4 linked regions of the Caenorhabditis elegans genome follow. The protein of the gene in region 1 binds, or shares a complex with, the protein of each later gene. Each region holds a gene or a part of one and is shown in the gene's direction. Other genes may lie near its edges. The genes, in order: mdt-31, let-49, mdt-1.2 and mdt-15.

What was found.
Region 2: mdt-31 (region 1) and let-49 share a complex: the UniProt entries of both Caenorhabditis elegans proteins name them as parts of the mediator complex.
Region 3: mdt-31 (region 1) and mdt-1.2 share a complex: the UniProt entries of both Caenorhabditis elegans proteins name them as parts of the mediator complex.
Region 4: mdt-31 (region 1) and mdt-15 share a complex: the UniProt entries of both Caenorhabditis elegans proteins name them as parts of the mediator complex.

The regions. Positions count from the first base shown.
Region 1 is NC_003279.8:8,964,082-8,967,508, forward strand, and holds mdt-31 (Mediator of RNA polymerase II transcription subunit 31), read left to right. Parts: upstream 1-2,032; 5' UTR 2,033-2,048; coding exon 2,049-2,076; intron 2,077-2,215; coding exon 2,216-2,317; intron 2,318-2,424; coding exon 2,425-2,589; intron 2,590-2,639; coding exon 2,640-2,881; 3' UTR 2,882-2,920; downstream 2,921-3,427. Other genes in the region: snpc-4 (snRNA-activating protein complex subunit 4 homolog), read left to right, coding at 13-225, 295-449, 505-574, 619-843, 901-1,221, 1,270-1,479, 1,528-1,665, 1,720-1,842; spd-2 (Spindle-defective protein 2), read right to left, coding at 3,014-3,344, 3,392-3,427. UniProt on the Caenorhabditis elegans protein: Component of the Mediator complex, a coactivator involved in the regulated transcription of nearly all RNA polymerase II-dependent genes.
Region 2 is NC_003279.8:14,818,671-14,822,156, forward strand, and holds let-49 (Mediator of RNA polymerase II transcription subunit 7), read left to right. Parts: upstream 1-1,741; 5' UTR 1,742-1,753; coding exon 1,754-1,844; intron 1,845-1,966; coding exon 1,967-2,054; intron 2,055-2,178; coding exon 2,179-2,398; intron 2,399-2,452; coding exon 2,453-2,523; intron 2,524-2,579; coding exon 2,580-2,871; 3' UTR 2,872-2,981; downstream 2,982-3,486. Other genes in the region: Y54E5B.2 (WD_REPEATS_REGION domain-containing protein), read right to left, coding at 1-119, 394-726, 856-962, 1,032-1,158, 1,207-1,304, 1,358-1,552; ubc-16 (Ubiquitin-conjugating enzyme E2 W), read left to right, coding at 3,399-3,486. UniProt on the Caenorhabditis elegans protein: Component of the Mediator complex, a coactivator involved in the regulated transcription of nearly all RNA polymerase II-dependent genes.
Region 3 is NC_003284.9:17,149,691-17,155,193, forward strand, and holds mdt-1.2 (Mediator of RNA polymerase II transcription subunit 1.2), read left to right. Parts: upstream 1-1,831; 5' UTR 1,832-1,832; coding exon 1,833-2,003; intron 2,004-2,065; coding exon 2,066-2,199; intron 2,200-2,903; coding exon 2,904-3,131; intron 3,132-3,195; coding exon 3,196-3,300; intron 3,301-3,343; coding exon 3,344-3,532; intron 3,533-3,579; coding exon 3,580-3,889; intron 3,890-4,178; coding exon 4,179-4,356; intron 4,357-4,402; coding exon 4,403-4,514; intron 4,515-4,641; coding exon 4,642-4,783; 3' UTR 4,784-4,957; downstream 4,958-5,503. Other genes in the region: T23C6.4 (Caprin-1_dimer domain-containing protein), read right to left, coding at 119-227. UniProt on the Caenorhabditis elegans protein: Component of the Mediator complex, a coactivator involved in the regulated transcription of nearly all RNA polymerase II-dependent genes.
Region 4 is NC_003281.10:5,829,620-5,835,685, reverse strand, and holds mdt-15 (Mediator of RNA polymerase II transcription subunit 15), read left to right. Parts: upstream 1-1,940; 5' UTR 1,941-2,028; intron 2,029-2,172; 5' UTR 2,173-2,209; coding exon of another isoform or gene 2,210-2,302; 5' UTR 2,303-2,348; coding exon 2,349-2,404; intron 2,405-2,627; coding exon 2,628-2,851; intron 2,852-2,901; coding exon 2,902-3,392; intron 3,393-3,464; coding exon 3,465-4,619; intron 4,620-4,969; coding exon 4,970-5,287; intron 5,288-5,365; coding exon 5,366-5,464; 3' UTR 5,465-5,561; downstream 5,562-6,066. Other genes in the region: R12B2.6 (uncharacterized protein), read left to right, coding at 1,533-1,664; R12B2.13 (uncharacterized protein), read left to right, coding at 2,210-2,302. UniProt on the Caenorhabditis elegans protein: Component of the Mediator complex, a coactivator involved in regulated gene transcription of nearly all RNA polymerase II-dependent genes.

The DNA.
Region 1 (3,427 bases):
TAAAAATTTCAGTTGGCTGCCGGATTCTGCAACGCGGTCGATGCCATGAAATCCGGAAGACGTGCTCCTGAAGAGGACGAGCTGGAGCAAGAAGATATTGTGGAAGCGGAGCAGATTCCAAATGAACTCATGAAAGAAGTTTATGAGAAATTCGCCAACGAAAATCCGGATATGAATGAGACTCCCGAAGAATTTTACAAACGTGTATCTGCCTTGGAGAGACCAGTAAGATCAAAAATAAATTTTTTAAAACTCATATTTTTATTATTACTATTATTATTATTATTATTGCAGGCCGCCGCTAGAATTCGAGCTCTGAAGAATAAGCCGGATTATCAAAAAATCCAAGATAAAATCAACGAAATTGTTCAAAAGCACAAAAATGCAGCCGAAATCGACAAAGAACTACACTCCAGTGAAATTCTCTCATCGCTCACAATCACGGAAGTGTTAGTTGAAAACCAAAAAAAAAACACCATATTTTAATTACATTTTGTTTTTCAGTGATGTTCGTTACATGATAGAAAGAAGCAAGACTTTGACGCGTTACTACGAGGCTCGACAGTTTAGAAAGGTAAATTAATTGTACAGAATATTAACCCATTGAAAAATGTTCAGAACGTGGATCAAATCGGATGTCGTGTTCGTCCGATTAAGATCGATTTGGATCCAGAAACAATGCCAACATTTGATCCAAATGATGCTGAAGATGAAAAGCAAATGGTCATTGTGGAGTCGTTGTGCTCTGTAATTCGTGCTCACGACGTAAAAGAATGGGGCACTAAGTTTTGGAATGAACATCGCTTCACAGCGCCGAAATACGCTAAAAGATTTGTGGAGAATGTGAGTCAGAATAGAGAAAATAAAGTTTAATGAAAATTCACATTAAAATTCTCACAGATGGTCATAAACAAGTCAAAAGAAGTCGCTGAATGGTATTTACATGTTAACTCAAAGTCATGCAATCAAAATGATGTACATTGCCCAGCCAAGTCAACTCTTCCTCCGACTGCTGCATCATTCGATCTTCACAAAATGCTTCAAAAAGCCCGTTCTGGATTGAATCGTCTTTCTGCTGAACACTTTTACCCTCTTGATGTCTCTCTGGCTCAACAATTCAACTTCAAAAACGACGAGAGAGAGGGCCTCGACGGAGACAGACGTATGCATATCGGGTTGTCTGATGAGGTCACCAATAGTAAAGAGTATGCGAATTTTTATGTAAGTGAATATATTATATTCTTATTTTTATTTTTGATAATTTTTCAGGCTCGAATGCGTTCGATTCTTCTCGAACCAATGCGTCTTGGAATTGCTCGTGAATCGTCGTCTGATGAAACCAAGCGGCTTGTGCGCTGTCTTGCAGAGGAACGCGCCTGCGATGAAGAACAACAAGTTACCTGTGACCAAATAAGACGACGCCGGATGCCTGATGACGAGATCTATGTTACTCCAACTTCAATCTCTAGAGAACTAAATGTAAAGTTTTTTGCGTTGTCTCCACTGCTAGACGTTGTTTTTTTTCAGAACGGCATGAAAATCGATACCACCGAGTTGTTGGCTAATCTGGACAAGAATTCTGCGAAGAAAATCAGAATGAAAAGGAAGATTGGAGAGGTGAGATGTGACACTAAAATTAAACTTTTACCCCTAGTAATCCTTGCGGTACTATTATCTATATTTTTCTCATAGTCCTCAATGAAACAGTATATTTTTCAGACCGTTGCGACAGTTGCAGCGCGTCCTGCTCGTCCACCGCGTTCATCTGCAGGTACACCCACTCCAAGTCACGTCTCGATCGATACGGAGAGTAATATTTCGCTCAAAGTGGAGTTAGATTGAATATTCTATTATTGAACAATATAACTATTTTACCCAACTCTATGTCATCCTCTCCTGTGCAGTTTTACATCACTTTTTTAAACTGAACCCATTAAAAGTTGATCTCCTAAGATTATTTCACTTTTGTTTTATTAACAATCTCAGCTCTTTATGAACACCATCTGTTAAATTTGTTTTTCTTTTTCTAATAAAATGGTTTTATAGGCATGGGTCGTTTTAGTTTCAATCGATACGGTATGTTTCCATTGGAATAATATATTTAACTCATTTCGTAGTACGGATTTCACCGTATAGGTGAAAAAAGGTCATAATATCAAAATTTTGTAAATTTCTGTAATTTTTCGAAGCTTGAATTCCATTTTTTTTTCTTCAGGCTACAATACAATGCAGATGGAGAGTGTAGAAAGTGAAAAGACGAGATTTGAAGTTGAATGTGAATTCGTGCAGGCTCTTGCAAATCCAAATTATCTTAATTGTGAGTTTATTCACATACACTAGCCGAGAATAGAGAAAAACGTATTTTTATTCTAAGTTTCTTGTTTTTTTATGCACTCTTTTTCCTGCAAATTTCATATTTTCCAGTTCTCGCGCAACGTGGTTATTTCAAAGAAGAATATTTTGTCAACTATCTCAAATATCTTCTCTATTGGAAAGATCCTCAATATGCCAGATGCTTGAAATTTCCTCAATGTCTGCACATGCTTGAAGCACTGCAGAGTCAGCAATTTCGCGATTCGATGGCTTACGGTAGTTCAAATTTTATTTAATCTATCAGAAGAATAGTAACTTATTTTCAGGACCAAGCGCGAAATTCGTAGAAGATCAAGTGGTTCTCCAATGGCAGTTTTATCTTCGGAAACGGCATCGTTTGTGTATGATGCCTGATGAGGGACAAGAGCTTGAAGAATCTGAAGATGAAGCTGATATTCGACAAAAGGACACAGAGGATGAAGATGATGAGGAAACGATGAAGAAACCGGATGCTGACACAGCCGAAAAGAATTCCACAACTTCTACCGTTTCAAAGAAAGAAAAATAAACATAAAAAATGTAAATCAAATAAAACTTCATCACCACTTTATTGAAATTGAAACCTACATTTTACAGAACCGTGAATTTTTTCGAAGCCTGGACAGAAATCAGAGAATATTTGGAAAGTTAGGTTAAGATTTTACTTTCTATTCGAAAATCTTGTATTGGGAACAATTGTAACGTCGTTGACAAATGTCTGATTACGGAAAGCTGTTGTCTCGAGTAGAGTAGAGTCGTCGTTGCTGCATATCTCTTTCTTCTTCCGGCTTGTAGCAGCACGGAATTCAGTTGTAGAAGTGAAAAAATTGATGAAGAAACTACGATAAGAAGCAGCGAACAGATCACGGTCCTCGGGCTTGATAGCGGGGAATCCAACTGGAACAGCACGAAGAACTTCTTCATCGGAAAATTGGAAAGATGTGAAGTCATGACCATCGATTAGTTGATGCTGTCCTGTGCGAACTTCTAGCCTAAATAATTTCAAATGTAATACCATTTCATCTGTATTCAAATTAACAATCGAAGTCTGGTTCGCATGGTTTCTTCACCCCAA
Region 2 (3,486 bases), 5.9 Mb from region 1:
CAATCCACGTGTTCTGATGCCACGCTACTACCGAATCATCTGATGACGTCATATGCTTTATATTTGTGCATCGGAATATTATTCGGAGCATTGCATCGGATTCGAAGAGGATTAGCTCACTGTAAGATGATTGAGTTGTATGATTTTTTCTTAGAAAATAGTGAAAAGGAGTTCAAATTTCCAAGTCGCCGAATTTTAGACCATTGAATAATTTTAGGCCTTCACAGGAATTTAGGCTTTCTGAAGAATTTGTGCAAAATGGTATAAAAATGCAAACTTGGAATTAAATAGTATCTCATTATGCATTTTTTGGATTTTCCAAAAAATAAAGTCCAATATTAAATTTCGTGTTTGGAGGTTTTTTAAAGTAATTTTAGTCAAAAAAAAACTCACTTATCTGCCGTTAAAATCACTAATTTCCCATTTAAATTCGCAAAATTCATCAAATCATCTTTCAAAATTACAATTTTCGATTTCAATGATTGCTGTTCCACGTGAATTTCCAAAAGATCTCCATTTTGAGAGCTGATCGCCAGTGTACTATCGTCTATTTTACTGATTTTCTGAATAACACCAATTGGAATTGCAATCTTTTGCCGCAAATCAATCGAACGTTCATCATATTTCCAGCAGAACAGTGTTTGTTCGATACCGCCCGTGTAGATTCTATAATTGATTGGATCCACGCAAATGGCGAATGGACGGGCTGTATGACCGAATACTGTGCTAAAAATGGAGAATTGTGTCGATTTACGCAGCAGTTCTCATGTACTCCTCGTGAAGAAGATTTTTTTTTGAATTGTTTTAGTTGAAATCGATAAATTTAAAGTTAAAAATAAGTATTAGAAAACCAACCAAAGCGGACCACTTTCTCTGTCATCAATTGGCCACATTCGAATTGTTCGATCATCAGAAATTGTGAAAATACGTGTGGAATCCGTTACAATTGAAAAGATCATTCCCTAAAAATTGGAATAGTATAATTCTTTTTTCGGCCAACAACAAAGCTATTTCCAAGTCAAAAATCGAACTTTATGTCCTTTTCTCATAATTGGCTTCTCGTCTTCGTGTGGCTTCCAATCAATTAATTCTCCGATAACACTTCCAAAATACACGTGACAAGATTCTGCACTATTTCCGATGATTAGAGAGCAAATTCTGGAAAATTAGGAAATTGTTCCAGTATTATTTTACTAATTTACGCACGATGTGGCAAAGTAATCGCATTGAATTTTCGATAAAACGCTCAGATTTGAAGATATGCGAATTGTGAGCGAATTCCTCGATGTTACGGTGATTATTTTCTGAAAAATTGGAAAGTTGTTTGAAGTCGGCGATTTTGAGAGTAACCTTTTACCTTTTCTTTTTTGAACAACTTGCAGCCAATGATATGCTCAGGAAACTCCTCAATTATTTGGTTTTCAGCACATTTTGAGTATTTTTCATCAAATTTTGCACATGTGATGATTTTCCCGCTTAGCAGATGTTTTTCAGCTATTTTTGATTGAATAAGGTGGTCGAGAAGACATGGATTATCTTCTAATTCGTCCATTGAACTGAAAACAATTCGTTTAAGAACAAAAATAAATAGAAAAAAGAAAAAAGAAAAAAAAACAAATTTTCAAAAATAATGCAACTGCGCTCCTCCGTACTCTCACGTTTTTCATTTTTCTTTCTTTTATTATTATACTTCCCTTCCTTTTCAGCTCTGTTTTCATCGTTTTCAACTCATTTTTTTCAGTTTTCATTTAAAATGCTTCCTGGTTTTGGTGCACAAACAGTCAGCCCGTTCCCAAATCCTCCAGAGTACGCATCGGCGTATACAAGTGATCGAATCAATAATGGTAAGGAGTTTGAATTTTGAAATTTTGAAACTAGCAGTTTTTAATTCAGCAAACAGTATTTTTTTTTGTTAGAAATAAAACGCAATTTCTCTAACAGATTTCTCATACATCACTTTAACAAGATTCAGGTTCGGCACCACCTCCGCCGCATCCACTTACGGAATTCAAGGTGTACGGAGAGGAATATCGATTGGAAGATGATGTCATCGCGTAAGAAATTTTAGCGGCTATATAAAAACCAAAAACATGCTGAGTCTAGCCGAATTTTCCCACCTATTTTGCAAAAACCTTTTTCAATACGCGGGAAAAACTAGAATAAAACATTCATTTACAGCCCTCTGAAAAACGCCGGTGTTGCTGAGCTCTACAAGAACAAAAATAATTGGAAAACCGAGATGAAGAAGTTGAACAGGTCCGCCATAGTCGCATTTTTCGATTTGGTCGAAATTCTGATTCGCGCTCCCGATCACCCAATGAGAGAGGAGAAAATGGTCGATTTACACACGATATTCATTAATATGCATCATTTGATCAATGAATTCCGGCCAGTTCAGGTAGAAAAGTGTTTTAAAAATGAAATAAAATCTATATTTTTCTATGTTTTTCAGGCTCGCGACAGTGTTCGAATTTTACAAGAGAGACAAATCGAAGAATTATCGGATATTTGCAAGGATTTTAAGTTAGTCAAATCGGAATTAAGTTTTAAATTTGTATATTTTTTCTCCTTTTTTCCAGAAAATATCTGCGTGATGGTCGAGAAGTTGTCGATGACCAATTCCAAATGATCCGTGGGAAGCTTCCAGCTCCACCTCAACCTTCGGAACTGACACGTGTCAAACTGCAAGACGGAGTGCTTCATATGCTTCAGGAGACAGAAGCTTCAGATGACGTGGAAATGAAAGAGGAAGAAGGATCGGAATATAGTAAAAAGAAAGCGAGGCTGGAACTATTATCAAGAGAAGATGGACCACCGAGTGTTGTACACTTGTTAGCAAGACAGTTTCATGATATCTCACTGAAGAAATAATTAAATAATTTCATTTTAATTTATTTTACCGGGTTTTCGAACTATGATTTTGACTCTGATGATCTTCTGAAATGCTGTAATTAAAATTTCGTTTAAAAATAACTTTTTTCAATCGTTTTTTCATCTTTGTTCTGTTGAAAATGCGTCAATTCGCATTCTTTATTTCGAATTATTTTTTATACTTTTTAGGCAGCTTTCGTGTGACATAAACAATTATCTTCAGGGAATACGTTTCATTTCGAAAAACAGTGTTTTTTCTTCAAAAAATTAAAAACCTGAAAATGAGAAAACTAAAATTTTCGGTTTTTTTATTTTAGAGGAAAACGCCAATTAAAAGCGCAAAGTCGTACGTAGCTTTTTCGATTTTATTCTTTCTATAATTGGAAATTATGAGCAGAAATTATTGATTAAAAATCAATAATTTAAGCCAAAAAAACTGTAAAATTCTCTTCTCCTCGAGAAGTATACGAATTCTGCGTGAATCAACACATAATACCCCTAATTTCAGACGCCTCCACTCATCAGGAATGTCAGATGCTGCGACAAGACGACTGATGAAAGAGCTGGCTCAACTGAAAAGTGAGGCTCCAGAAGGGCTTTTAGTGGATAATACAT
Region 3 (5,503 bases), on another chromosome or scaffold:
AGGCATTCTATATTTAAAAGTGCAACAGTGTGGACAACCTCTAGAGAATTCATGGAATCCTCAATGAGAAATTCTGGCTCAAACGAGCTCATAAGCTCAGTGTATCCAATCAACTCACTGTTTTTGAATTGAGACTCCATGAGTGCAGCTGTGGAGTTCCAGTAAAGTTGTGATGATTTGAAGTCGAATGGTTGGTTTTCTGCAGGCTGTTGACTGCTCAGCGACATTTTGTTAGCTTTAAAATTTACAGATTATAAATTCGAAAACAAGTTCGCTCAAGTGTGCAAACATCGAAAATGAAGTGGCCAATTGAAATATGAGAGTGAAGAAAGAATTGGATGAGAGAGAACTTGTAAAATCCAAAAAAAAAAACATTCGACCTAATACCAACCAGTCGAGACGAAGAATGGAAGACGGCGAGACAACGAAACCAGCAGCACAGCCGCCTGCCCGCCCTATAAATTGGACTTGAAACAGAGACGACGACGACGAGGAAACTGGTGGGTCTGGCTGCGCAGTCAATGCACACAACGGCTACACCACCAGAAAATTGAGGGAGAACACAGAGCACCGTTGTGCAATTCCTCGAAGGTCCAACATCTGTTGAGGCGAAAAAAGCGCAACAGTGTTCGAGCACCTGTTCGTCAGATGGTTCAACAAAGAGATGAAAGAACATTGAAAGATTTGTGATACATGCTATATTCGTTTTGGGAAAATTTTAGATCAGCAGATTTTTTGTTGAATTGTGAACGATTTGTGGAAAAATTCTCGAAATTTTTGAAATTTTCAGCAAAAATGTTCATAACGTTGTGAGATTGCATTGGGAATCCCACCGAAACATGGCATGTTGTGAAAATATATAAAGCTTGTTTATAAATTAGATGAAACTTAAAAAAACGGGGAAAATTTGATATTAAGCAACTTGAAATTAAGTTTAAAAAACTGCCAGGAGTCTTTGATGATTGAAAAATACCTAGTAAAAATAATGCATAATCTCACGGTATAAATTTTTTATTTGAAGAAAAATTTTAAAAATTTAAGGGTGTAGAATGACAAAAGTACGACCGTTTGTAAACTTATCAAATTTTGTTTAAGAATATGTATGTATTATACAAAAAGAAGATAAATGTGTGTAAAATCATTTTTTTAAGTGGCAGTATCATTTAGTGATTTTTAAAATGCAAAACCGTTTTCAACACACTTTTAAACTACTTTTTTTGTAATGAAAAAATTATTTTCAAAAGTATTCTCGGCAAAATATCTTAGTCATATTCAAAATGGGCTATCATTGGGAGTGTTTCCATCAAGATGTTTTCACAATTTAGTAACGATTTTCAAGCCCCAATAAAAACAAAAACTATACCGCAAATACTTGTCCAGATTCACATTAGGTCCTAAAAAATATTGTCATTCGCCCTAGGATTGAACTGAAAATATAGAAAAACACTGGCATGGAAAAGCAAAAAAAAATTTTTTTTGACAAGTTCTTCTTCTTCTCGAAATTCCCATACTTATTTTTTTCCATTAGCAATTGTAATTGTTCATCATCGTTTCCATGTTCTATGACACCACTTTTCTAATGTCTTGGCTGTGTCCTTCTCCCCTCCATTGCCCATGTTCCTCTCCCGCTCTCTCAAACACGCATTAGCTAGAGATAAGGTATCCAAGGAGTGTGCAGACAGTGTGCAAACACCATCACGGCATTTTGCGGACTTCCCTTTGAAGACGACATCTTATTTTTTATTTCTTTTTGTTTATATTTATTTTTTATTGTTAACTTTCCTCTCTTATTTGTAAATTTGTATTCAACTCGATTAAATTTCGATTTTAGAATGGTTTCCACTCCATCACCGAAAACGAAAGTTTACCTGTTGGAGCAGCGGAAGAATCAAGAGCTCAACATTGAGCATATTGACGAGGAAATGAGATTGGAACAGGTCCGGCAAGCCGCATCAAAAATGGAATGGACATCATTCGGGCAGGCTGTGAGGCGAAACTTGTTGGTAACTATTTTCTTTAAACTTATTTATTGTGAAAGACAATTTGAAAAATGCATGAATTGCAGGAAAAACGTAACACAATCGATGCTGATGGTAGAATTGACGTGCTCAACGGGATTGCGTACATGAAAACAAAAATGCCAATCGAGGAAAACAATCTGATGGAGGAGAAGATACGGGTTATGGCTGAGAGTCTTGGGTAAGTTTTCAGTTAGAGAAATGGCGTTAAATTTAGAAAACTGCCATAAAAACCTGGCTTTTTTGGAACCTAGAATTTAACTGCTAAAAATGATAGAGCATTTCCTTGCACCTATTTTTCACATGCATCAAAATGTATAATTTTTGAGTGCTCTTAAGGTAGAATTCATTTGCCGATTGAGCATTAATAACTTGGAAATCTATTTTTCGTAGCACCTGTTGCTTCAAGAAAGAAAAAAATCAAAAAGGAGTAGACCCACATATACTTCAAATTTTCTGAAACACTGTCAAGTTTCATGTTTTCTTGAAGAACCAAAATCAGTTCCACATCGGACCCTAGTTTGTAATAAAAATATTGTACTTGTATCCAAGATTGAGACGCAAACCTGTCAAAAACTAGAAGAGTTTACCGACTGCCAATTGCTAGAAAATAATCGCGTACTAAATATACAAAATTAAGAAAGTGAGCACCTACTCAATTTCTCTGAAATCTTTACACATTATTACATTTCACAAATAAATGAAAGTACTGCACAACATTTGTTTCTCGATAGACTAGTTTCCTTTTAAAAAAATTAGAAACCTGGTACGTTGGAGTCCGACAAAACTTATACATATTCCAACGTTATCCACTTGAAATTTGCCTAGCCATAACTTCTAATCGCTCAAAATTTATTAAAATACATAGCTCACTTTTATTTCCAGATGCTTGCACAAACAAACTTCTCGCGGATGGTCCATCAATCGTCAAGAAGATCTCATCATGGACTTTACTGTCAACGATGGTGAAGTGACAACCGTTGTGCTTAGTTTTTGGGAAGAGCCTTCATTCTACTCCCCAGAAGCTACAAGAATGCTCCAGTTAGGGATGTGGACAGAGCTTCGAAACCGAATCTCAGATATGCTGTTGACGTATGATAAGTTGTTGAGCAGGTATGTTGTTTGACTTTGAGCAAAGCAAAAAATAATGCTTCTAGAACTCACTCCCATTTTTCAGAGACGATCGTAGAAACTGCATGGGAGCTATGAGAATGCTCGAGATGCTTTTTGGACACTTCTCTCAAGACCCTTCCTACACTTCAATTCACAGATCCAACTATGGGTAACTTTATAATTATTTTTTTAATGAAAAATTTTAATTTTAGTTTCTACCTTCCACGTAATGATCTCCGCGCAGGGCGTGTATATTATTTGGCGGAACCACACTTTCGGAACATTCGCTCCAAGGATCATATTTTCCAGTTACAAAAGGATGATCACGAAGTTTTGCCATACTTTGAATTTTCGTTTGCCAAGCATGATAGCCCGTGTACACTTCCAGAGTTTGACACAAAGTGAGTTCATTCACATCTTAATATTATTGAAAATTGTAAATTTCCAGAGGCTGGGCAGAATCTATTGAAGCAAACGCTGTGATTTGTATGAAGCTATCCAGAGGGTTCAATCTTACTGAAACGACTAGAAAGAAGTTGGGAGCAATCAGTGCAAAGACTCCATCCGTTAAGCATTTCACAAATAGCTATCGCTACGTGACTGGAGCGGTGAAGATTGAGAACAACCTGCAGATGATTACACAGTTTGGCGATGGACAAACTCAACACTTCTACAATGTCGATGTGAACCAGTTGCGCAATGATGGTGACTCTGTGATCACTGAGATTTATTTGAAGCATTTGCAAGATTTTCATGAGGTAAGCAGTAGTAACATAGATTGTATTTTAAAAGCGCCAGTTTCATGATTCAATTAGCAAAAACATAAACATTTGAGTATCTTTTTTGTTTTGAGAAAATAAGCATACATGCTAATGCATGCTTTACATAATATGGACACACATTTTGCAACTTTCGGTTTTTTGCCACAGGGAATTATTGAACTTTGTGAGTCCGTTCAAATACTAGAAGTAGAAATATTATTTAAGACATCATTAACATATGTAGTCAGATATTCCACTACTCGATAAAAATAAATTATAATTGCAGATAATTGCAATTCTTCGCAACGAAGCCATGCATATCAGCCTTTGGGAGTCGATGATATCCGCGTGTTATGAGAAGCAGGGTATGAAAAAGCACACGGTTGCCGCAATCAAGATGGACGTTTTTCTGACAAGAGAGCAAATTGTAATCACCTTTGATACAAAATTTGCGCCGGTCAAAGGTGAGTTCTAGATAGATAAAGTGTTTAATATTAAGTAAATTTGCAGTTGTAATCCAGGATAGTGGAGTTTGTGAGGCAAAGGTGAATGTTGTGCATGCACAGACAGGCCTCCAGATTGCTGAAAAGATTGATGAAACATTGAGCAGAAAACTCAATGAGTAAGTTGAAACCGTACACTAACGCAAACGCAGGACTTGTTGCAAAGTTCCTGAGAATGTCAATAGCAGTTTTGGTGCCAACTCTTTGTCCATAGAACATCCTAGAGAAAACATTTGAAAATTTCAGAACTTGGAGCATTCCAAATATGCTTACCTACGCCGTGTCGGGTAGTGACTGCAACTTGGCAAAGATCAAAGTTCCGTTGAGAAGTGAAAACCCGGAGACTGTGGGCCCAATTCCAACTTATGCGGCTGGACGTTCCTTCTAACGGATTTTTGACTTATGATGTGTTTGTATAGTTTTTGTTTTATTATATACTTGAGCCTTATTTGATACTCATTTTGATTGTTGTGAATGTTTGAAATTAAGTTTTATATGCATTTGTATTATTTAAAATTTGCCATCTGAATTTTTCAAAGAGCTGAAAAGCAGAAAAAAATGATTAGAGGTTTTTTGCATGAATACTGAAAGTTGATTACTTAGGGTCAAAAATATCTTTAATAGTCAAACTGGGCAATATTTTCTTTAATTATGTCAATTGTAAGCTTGCTGAAAATATATAAAAGTAGCTCTAGTTGCCCAAAGACCTCGAAAGTTTACCCAAACAACTAAATTTCATAATGAGACTTTTCAAAGTTTTTAAAATATTTTACATTGCAGTTCAAAATTTCAAAAAAAAACTGTTCAATTCAGCTAAAATCTTCAATATTTATGTTTGTATGTGGCACATGGCCGGAAATCAATGTTCATTTAATGATCATTGAAATTTTGACCTTTCTTAAAAAGTTTTAAAACATTTTTGAGAAATCCGATTGCATAATTTTGTAATTTGGGATTAATATAATTTACAAACTCTGTTTAAGCATGAAAACCCAAAAAATTGATTTTTTGACAAATTCATTATTGACAGAAACTATATCCATAATTACGTATATGTTACAAATTTGACAGGAGACTGTTGTGGAAAGAAACGGTGATAGCATTATAA
Region 4 (6,066 bases), on another chromosome or scaffold:
ATTTCGATAAGCAAACGATGTAGAATCTCTCAATTTTGCACACTATTCTGAACATCATTAACTTGTGTGTCCGTCTACGGTATTATCAATCATTTTCTTCTTTTTCATCGTCGTCTTCTTCTTCTTCTTATTCGTTTTCTTTTCCCCTATCCTCGCCACTTTCCACATTCGTTTCGCACCCAGTTCTACTTCTTCGATACGGCTTCCATCGGTATTCTGAATTTCCCTGTCAGCACCTGCCCTTCGTCTTTGCTCAGGCAATCAGCACCGAACTCTCTCTCTGTTAGAAAATGTCGCCAGTTGCTCGGGCTCTTTCCCTCTCTCTCTATCTCTCTCTCTATCTGGCTCACCGACCGCGTGGTGGTGCTGCTTCGTCGACACGCTCGTTTGGTGATAAATGATTTGCTCCCCCTTTTCGTTTTCTTTTTCTTCTTGCGTTGATTTTTCACATTGTTATTGCACTTGGCAGTGTCGTATTTTTGTGTTTTTATTTTGACCCATAAGTTCTAATACGATATCTTAGGCTCCCAGCTTGACTGGTGCTCTCATAATTTGAAATCAGAAGTTTTTCTTTTAAAAATTGAAAAAAGTGCACATTTTTCTTAAATTTTGAAGCTAAATATTTGAAATCTTCCACACTTCTAGTTTAATTCTCGATAACATCTGATAATTCTTTCCAAAATTTCAGGTCGAGCTGGCAAACATGGAAAAGCAATCACATTCCTCACACCTGACGATACTGCCGTCTATTTCGACTTGAAGCAGGTAAAAATTGTGGACGGACACCTTCCAACACACGTGTAATTGGTTTACTTTCCAGTGCGCGCTAACCGAATTCCCTTTCGTCTTTTTTCGCGCGCGCTCTCCGGCACTTCACACATGTGTTGTGGTGCTGGAAGGTTGCCTAATTTCTTGCACTTGAGCTGGTTTTCTCTCTGCGACGAAAATGGATTTTTTGTTAGGCGGAAAACGGAATTCGTTTTTTTTGTAAGAAAATGAAAATTATTCGGGAATGATAAGACCGGTAAAACGTTCCATAAGATAAGAACATATTTCAGCGTTCTAGAGCAATTTAAAACAAAAAAATGTTGTGATTAATTCTACAATTTTTGCGCCGAAAATACGGTACCCGGTCTCGACACGACAGAAATTGTTGTTAACTGCGAAAGGTCTGCGTCTTTAAAGAGTTCGGTAACTTCAAATTTTCATTACTGCGGTAATTTCAAATTTTCATTTCATTGAGTTTTCCCATAAATTCATAAATATATTTTTTTATCGAAAAACAATGAAAAATCTTTAAAAATTCGACTGAGATTAAAGTTTGGAGTTACAGTACTCTTTAAAGGCGCACACCTTTCACATTCATCAAGAGAGTGTCGTGTCGAGACCGGGTGCCGTTTTTTTGTCAAAAACTAGAAGAATTACGTTGACGCGAAATGTATGTCCCCTTGCTTTACAAAATTTTATACACAAAACATTTAATTTTTAAATTTTCCAGGTTCTCGTTGAATTGCCTGCGTCGTTATGCCCGAATGGACTCGCGGAACATGATGCTGCACGGAGCAAACCTAGACAATTCACATCTTGATGTGAAAGTGAACTTTTTGTTTGAAAATTTCAAACATTTTTCAGTTTTTTTAAAACTTACCAAATCTTCCAAATAATACTAACCACCACATATCTTCCATTAAAAAATTTAACGTTTTTCAGCGTTCTGAATATCTTATCTCTCTGGTCCATTTCTCCTACAGAATATCTCTATCTCATAATTGCCTATTTTTATTTGTTTTTCTTTCTTAATTTCAAGCGTTTGGGATATCTTATCTCTCTCAACTCCGTTTATTTTTTTCTCCTTATCCGTCTCCTTATCCGTATTCCTTTATTATTAATCTCTTCTTCGTTCAACATCGCTAAATATTTTTTTCAATTCCTAATTTCAGGTCAAACCGGGGAACGAATCAAAAAGTGATTTTGCCGTCGGCGATCCGAAAATTTTGCCGGCTCGTCGACTATTGACGAGAACAAGAGGTGAGAAAATGGGGAACTTTTTGATATTTCCATCCTGATCTTTTGTGAATTGAAAGTTGAATCACAATAGATCGATGCACCATAATACAAAAAGTGACAATTTTTCCCCACTTTCAACCATCCATTATTCTATTTCTTTTGCAGGAATCGTCGTTATTTTTCGTTTGCCGCGTTCGTCGTTTTGATTTGTTCTTCATTTTCCTTCTTGTCGATAATTGTGTGTGAATCAAGACGCTCAGAAAGCCGCCGCCACGTTGACGTCGACGGTTGTTGAATCGCTTGCAAAAGCAACATTTCAAAAACAAGAGCAGAGTAGAAAGATGAGCGAAGAGGATTGGCCTTCGCCGAAATTTCGAGAGCATGTTATTCAGAGACTGTAAGCTTTTTTTAAAGGAATATTTTTTTGATAACCGAGAAAACATTTTAAAAAATTTTTTTTTTGTTGAAAATTTCCAAAAATTTCCATTCAAAATTTTGATAAATTCCCAAGTATTTGTAAATTATAAACCATAGGAGCTGATGTCACAAATGTATCCAGGCTGTACTCTTTTTAAAAATGAAAAAAAAATCCCGAAATATAAAAATTTTCCAATTTTCAGTGAGCCTGAGTTGGCGAGAAACCGGCAGAATGCCCCAAATTTACCAGTACCCGGTGACGCGAGGCAGGTCGAAGAATATGTGTTCGCAAAGTGTATGTCGAAGGACGAATATATGAGGACGATCGCAAAAGTGATTAATGCTATCAATTGTAATAGTAAATCAGCGGCAGTGCCTTCCGTGTTACAACCATCACAGTTTCATAGTCCGCCGTGTACGACAGCAGGTAACTTTTTGTAGTTTTTTGTGGCAACGAAAATCTAAAATTTCAATTAGCTCTATTAGGAAACACTCCGGCTGGCGGAACACCCGGATATCGAGCTCCTGTGCCTCCAGATCCACAACCAACATCAGCTCAGGCAAGAAATCCACCTGTTACCGTAGCAACAACACAGGCATCAACAACTCCATCAGCACCAAATCCGCCAGGAGGATTGCCTGCTCCATCAGCTTCTGCCACTGCTGCTGTTGCCGCCGCGGTTGCTTCATTTCCATCACCAGATACAAGTATTCGTCCAGGTGGACAGATCACTCCAGGATCACAGGCACCCGGTGGAGGTCCGACGCCGGCACCAAATGTTCCATTCCCAAATGGAAGCAGCCAGATGAATGGTGGACCAGCAATGGGTCAGCCACCACCGCAAATGGGTGCTCCAAATATGGGTGGACCACCGAATGGATACGGTGGTTACGGTATGATGAATGGACCACCTGGTAGTGGTGCTCCAATGGGTGGAAATCCGTACAATCAGCAGATTAAAAAGGATGTGAGTTTATTTTTCAAATGTATTTTTTTTTAATCTGCTAATTTTTCAATTTTTGATTAATTTTTTTTTCAGATGGATCAAGCTCGTCCTTGGGATCCTTCAGCACATATGTATCAACAACAACCACAATGGGGTGCAATGCCACCACAACAACCACATGGATATCCTGGAAGACCAATGAACGGTCAAGGAGCCACTCCAACCGGTCCTTCATCAGTTCTTGAATCACTTATCAATCAGCCTCAACAATATCCAGGACATCACAATCAGATGGGCCCACCTGGAGATCGAAATGTTGCTGCTCAACGTGCAGCTGCCCAACAACAGCAACAACAACAACAACAGCAGCAACAGCAACGACCCGGAATGGTTCCAAACCAGGGAATGATGAGTTCCGAGGATCAAACCGTGTATTCTGCGAAATTGAGAAATATGCGTGGAAGCTGCGACAGTTTGAGAACACGAGCAAGGCAATGCAGACATGAGGGTAACCATGAAGCTGCTCACAAGCTTGAGGTTATGCTCAGTGTGCTCGAAGGAAAACGTGTGGTTAGCCTTGAATACTTGAACCATTTGGAGATGTGGATTGCCAGAAAGCAAGACTTCTTGAATATTGCTCCAATGTCACAGAATCAGAATCATATGGGAATGAACGATCCGATGATGAACGGTGAACATGCTATGTTGGGTAATGGTCAGGTGCCAAATCCCTACGGAGGACATCCAGGTTATGGACATCAGCAGTATATGGGACCTCCACCACCACATATGCAAATGCATCAACCACCAATGTGGCATCAACAGCAACACCAACAGCAGCAACGAATGATGCCACAGGATCATATGATGATGCAGGGTGGAGGTGGTCCAGTTCATGGAATGTATCGTGGAGATATGGGACACGATCCGATGACATCACCAGTCAACAATCATCGTCATGCTCCATACCCGAATCCTGCAGCGATGAGAAACAATATGAGAATGCCAAATGGTCCTGGACCAATTGGAAGAGATCGTAATTCGATGAGTGGATCAAGTATGTCAGGTCCAAGTTCTGGAGCCCCTTCAATGAATCCAATGGGTACACCGAATCAAAAAATGGGAACACCTGGATCAATGGGTGGAATGTCAGGACTTGATGATCTGAACTATGATGATTTCCTTCCAAACCCAACGCCGATTGATGCACTTCAGCCAACATTGCACGTCGGGCAGAATTCGATGAATGTAAGTTTTATATTAAAAATTGAGTTTCTCAGCTTTCAAAAAAAAAAAACACACAAAGTATCCTCAAATGATTTTTGAAAAAAGTGAAAAATAATTGTGTCGCCGAAAACACGAAAAAAAAAATCGAAAAACGAAAAACCTCTGATCTCAAACAGGGACACCAAAAACATTTTAGACCAAAAACAAAACATTTTCGTATTTTTTCTTCTCCCGACTAAAAATCAACATTTTCGCAATTCAGTTTTTTTTTCTTTTTTTGGTCCGAAAAAACCAACAAGATTACCAAAAAATCTATTTTTACAAAAAAAAAATCAACAGCCAATCAATAATCTCAATCAATAAATATTCAGGCTGGTCCACCAGTTCAACGATCAAATCTCAATGAAACAGCAAGAAAGGAACTTCAAATCCTTGATGCTCGATTCGAGATTGATCCAAACCATCAACGTCATGATGCCAATCATATCATTGTCGTCTGTAAAATCCGTAATCAACAGTTCCCACCACTTCGACTCGTTGTTCCAACCACTTATCCAGCTGGAAATGTGACTGTAGATCGAGCAGTCATTGATTTGGATGCATATTTGTATGATGATCTACAAAATTCAGTATATGAGAGATTATCACGACCCGGTCTTTCGTCAATTACTGACTATTTGAATGCTTGGGTAAGTTCTTTCGCTGAGAAAGGGAAATTTATGAAAATTGCACTTCAAATTGAATTTTAAATTTATAATTTTCTACAGGAAGAACAAGTGAATCAATACCAAAACCAGACAAGCGGTGGTCTAGACGTCGCTTTCAACGTGGGCAACGATTTCTTCTACGATAATCTTAACTTGTAAGTTAGGTAGAGTGCATTAAGTTTCTTTTTTTGTGCCTGCTCACTAAAAGTTTTGTTATTCAATGTTTATTTTTGTAAAATAATAAAAAATATGAAAAACATTATAAAATAAAGTTGGAAGTGAAAAAATTCCGGAAAGTTTTAATTTTTGTAATAACTTTACAAAAAGTATTACTCAAACGCGAAAGTTTACGATTTTTCACCAAAATTACGGTAACCGGTCTCGACACGAAAAATGTTGGTCAAATGCGAAAATATGTGCGTCTTTAAAGAGTACTCTATTTTTTCATCGTTTTTTGATTAAAAAAATATATACCTGTCAATCTAAAAAAAATACCCGAATTTGACAATGAAAACACAATTAATATGATTTGAAACATGATTTTAAAATTACAGTACTCTTTAAAAACGCAAACCTTTAAAAAAATTAGAAGACAGTTTTTTTTAAACAAACTGTTTTCTTCTCAATCAATGTTTTCTAATTTTCAGGTCAAATCCGTTCTAAACTCCGCCTCGTCTGAATTGAATTGCTCAGTTGCACAAAACCTGTACAAAAAAGAAAATCGAGTCTTCGTGGAATGGATTCAGTTGTTGTTGTCCTCT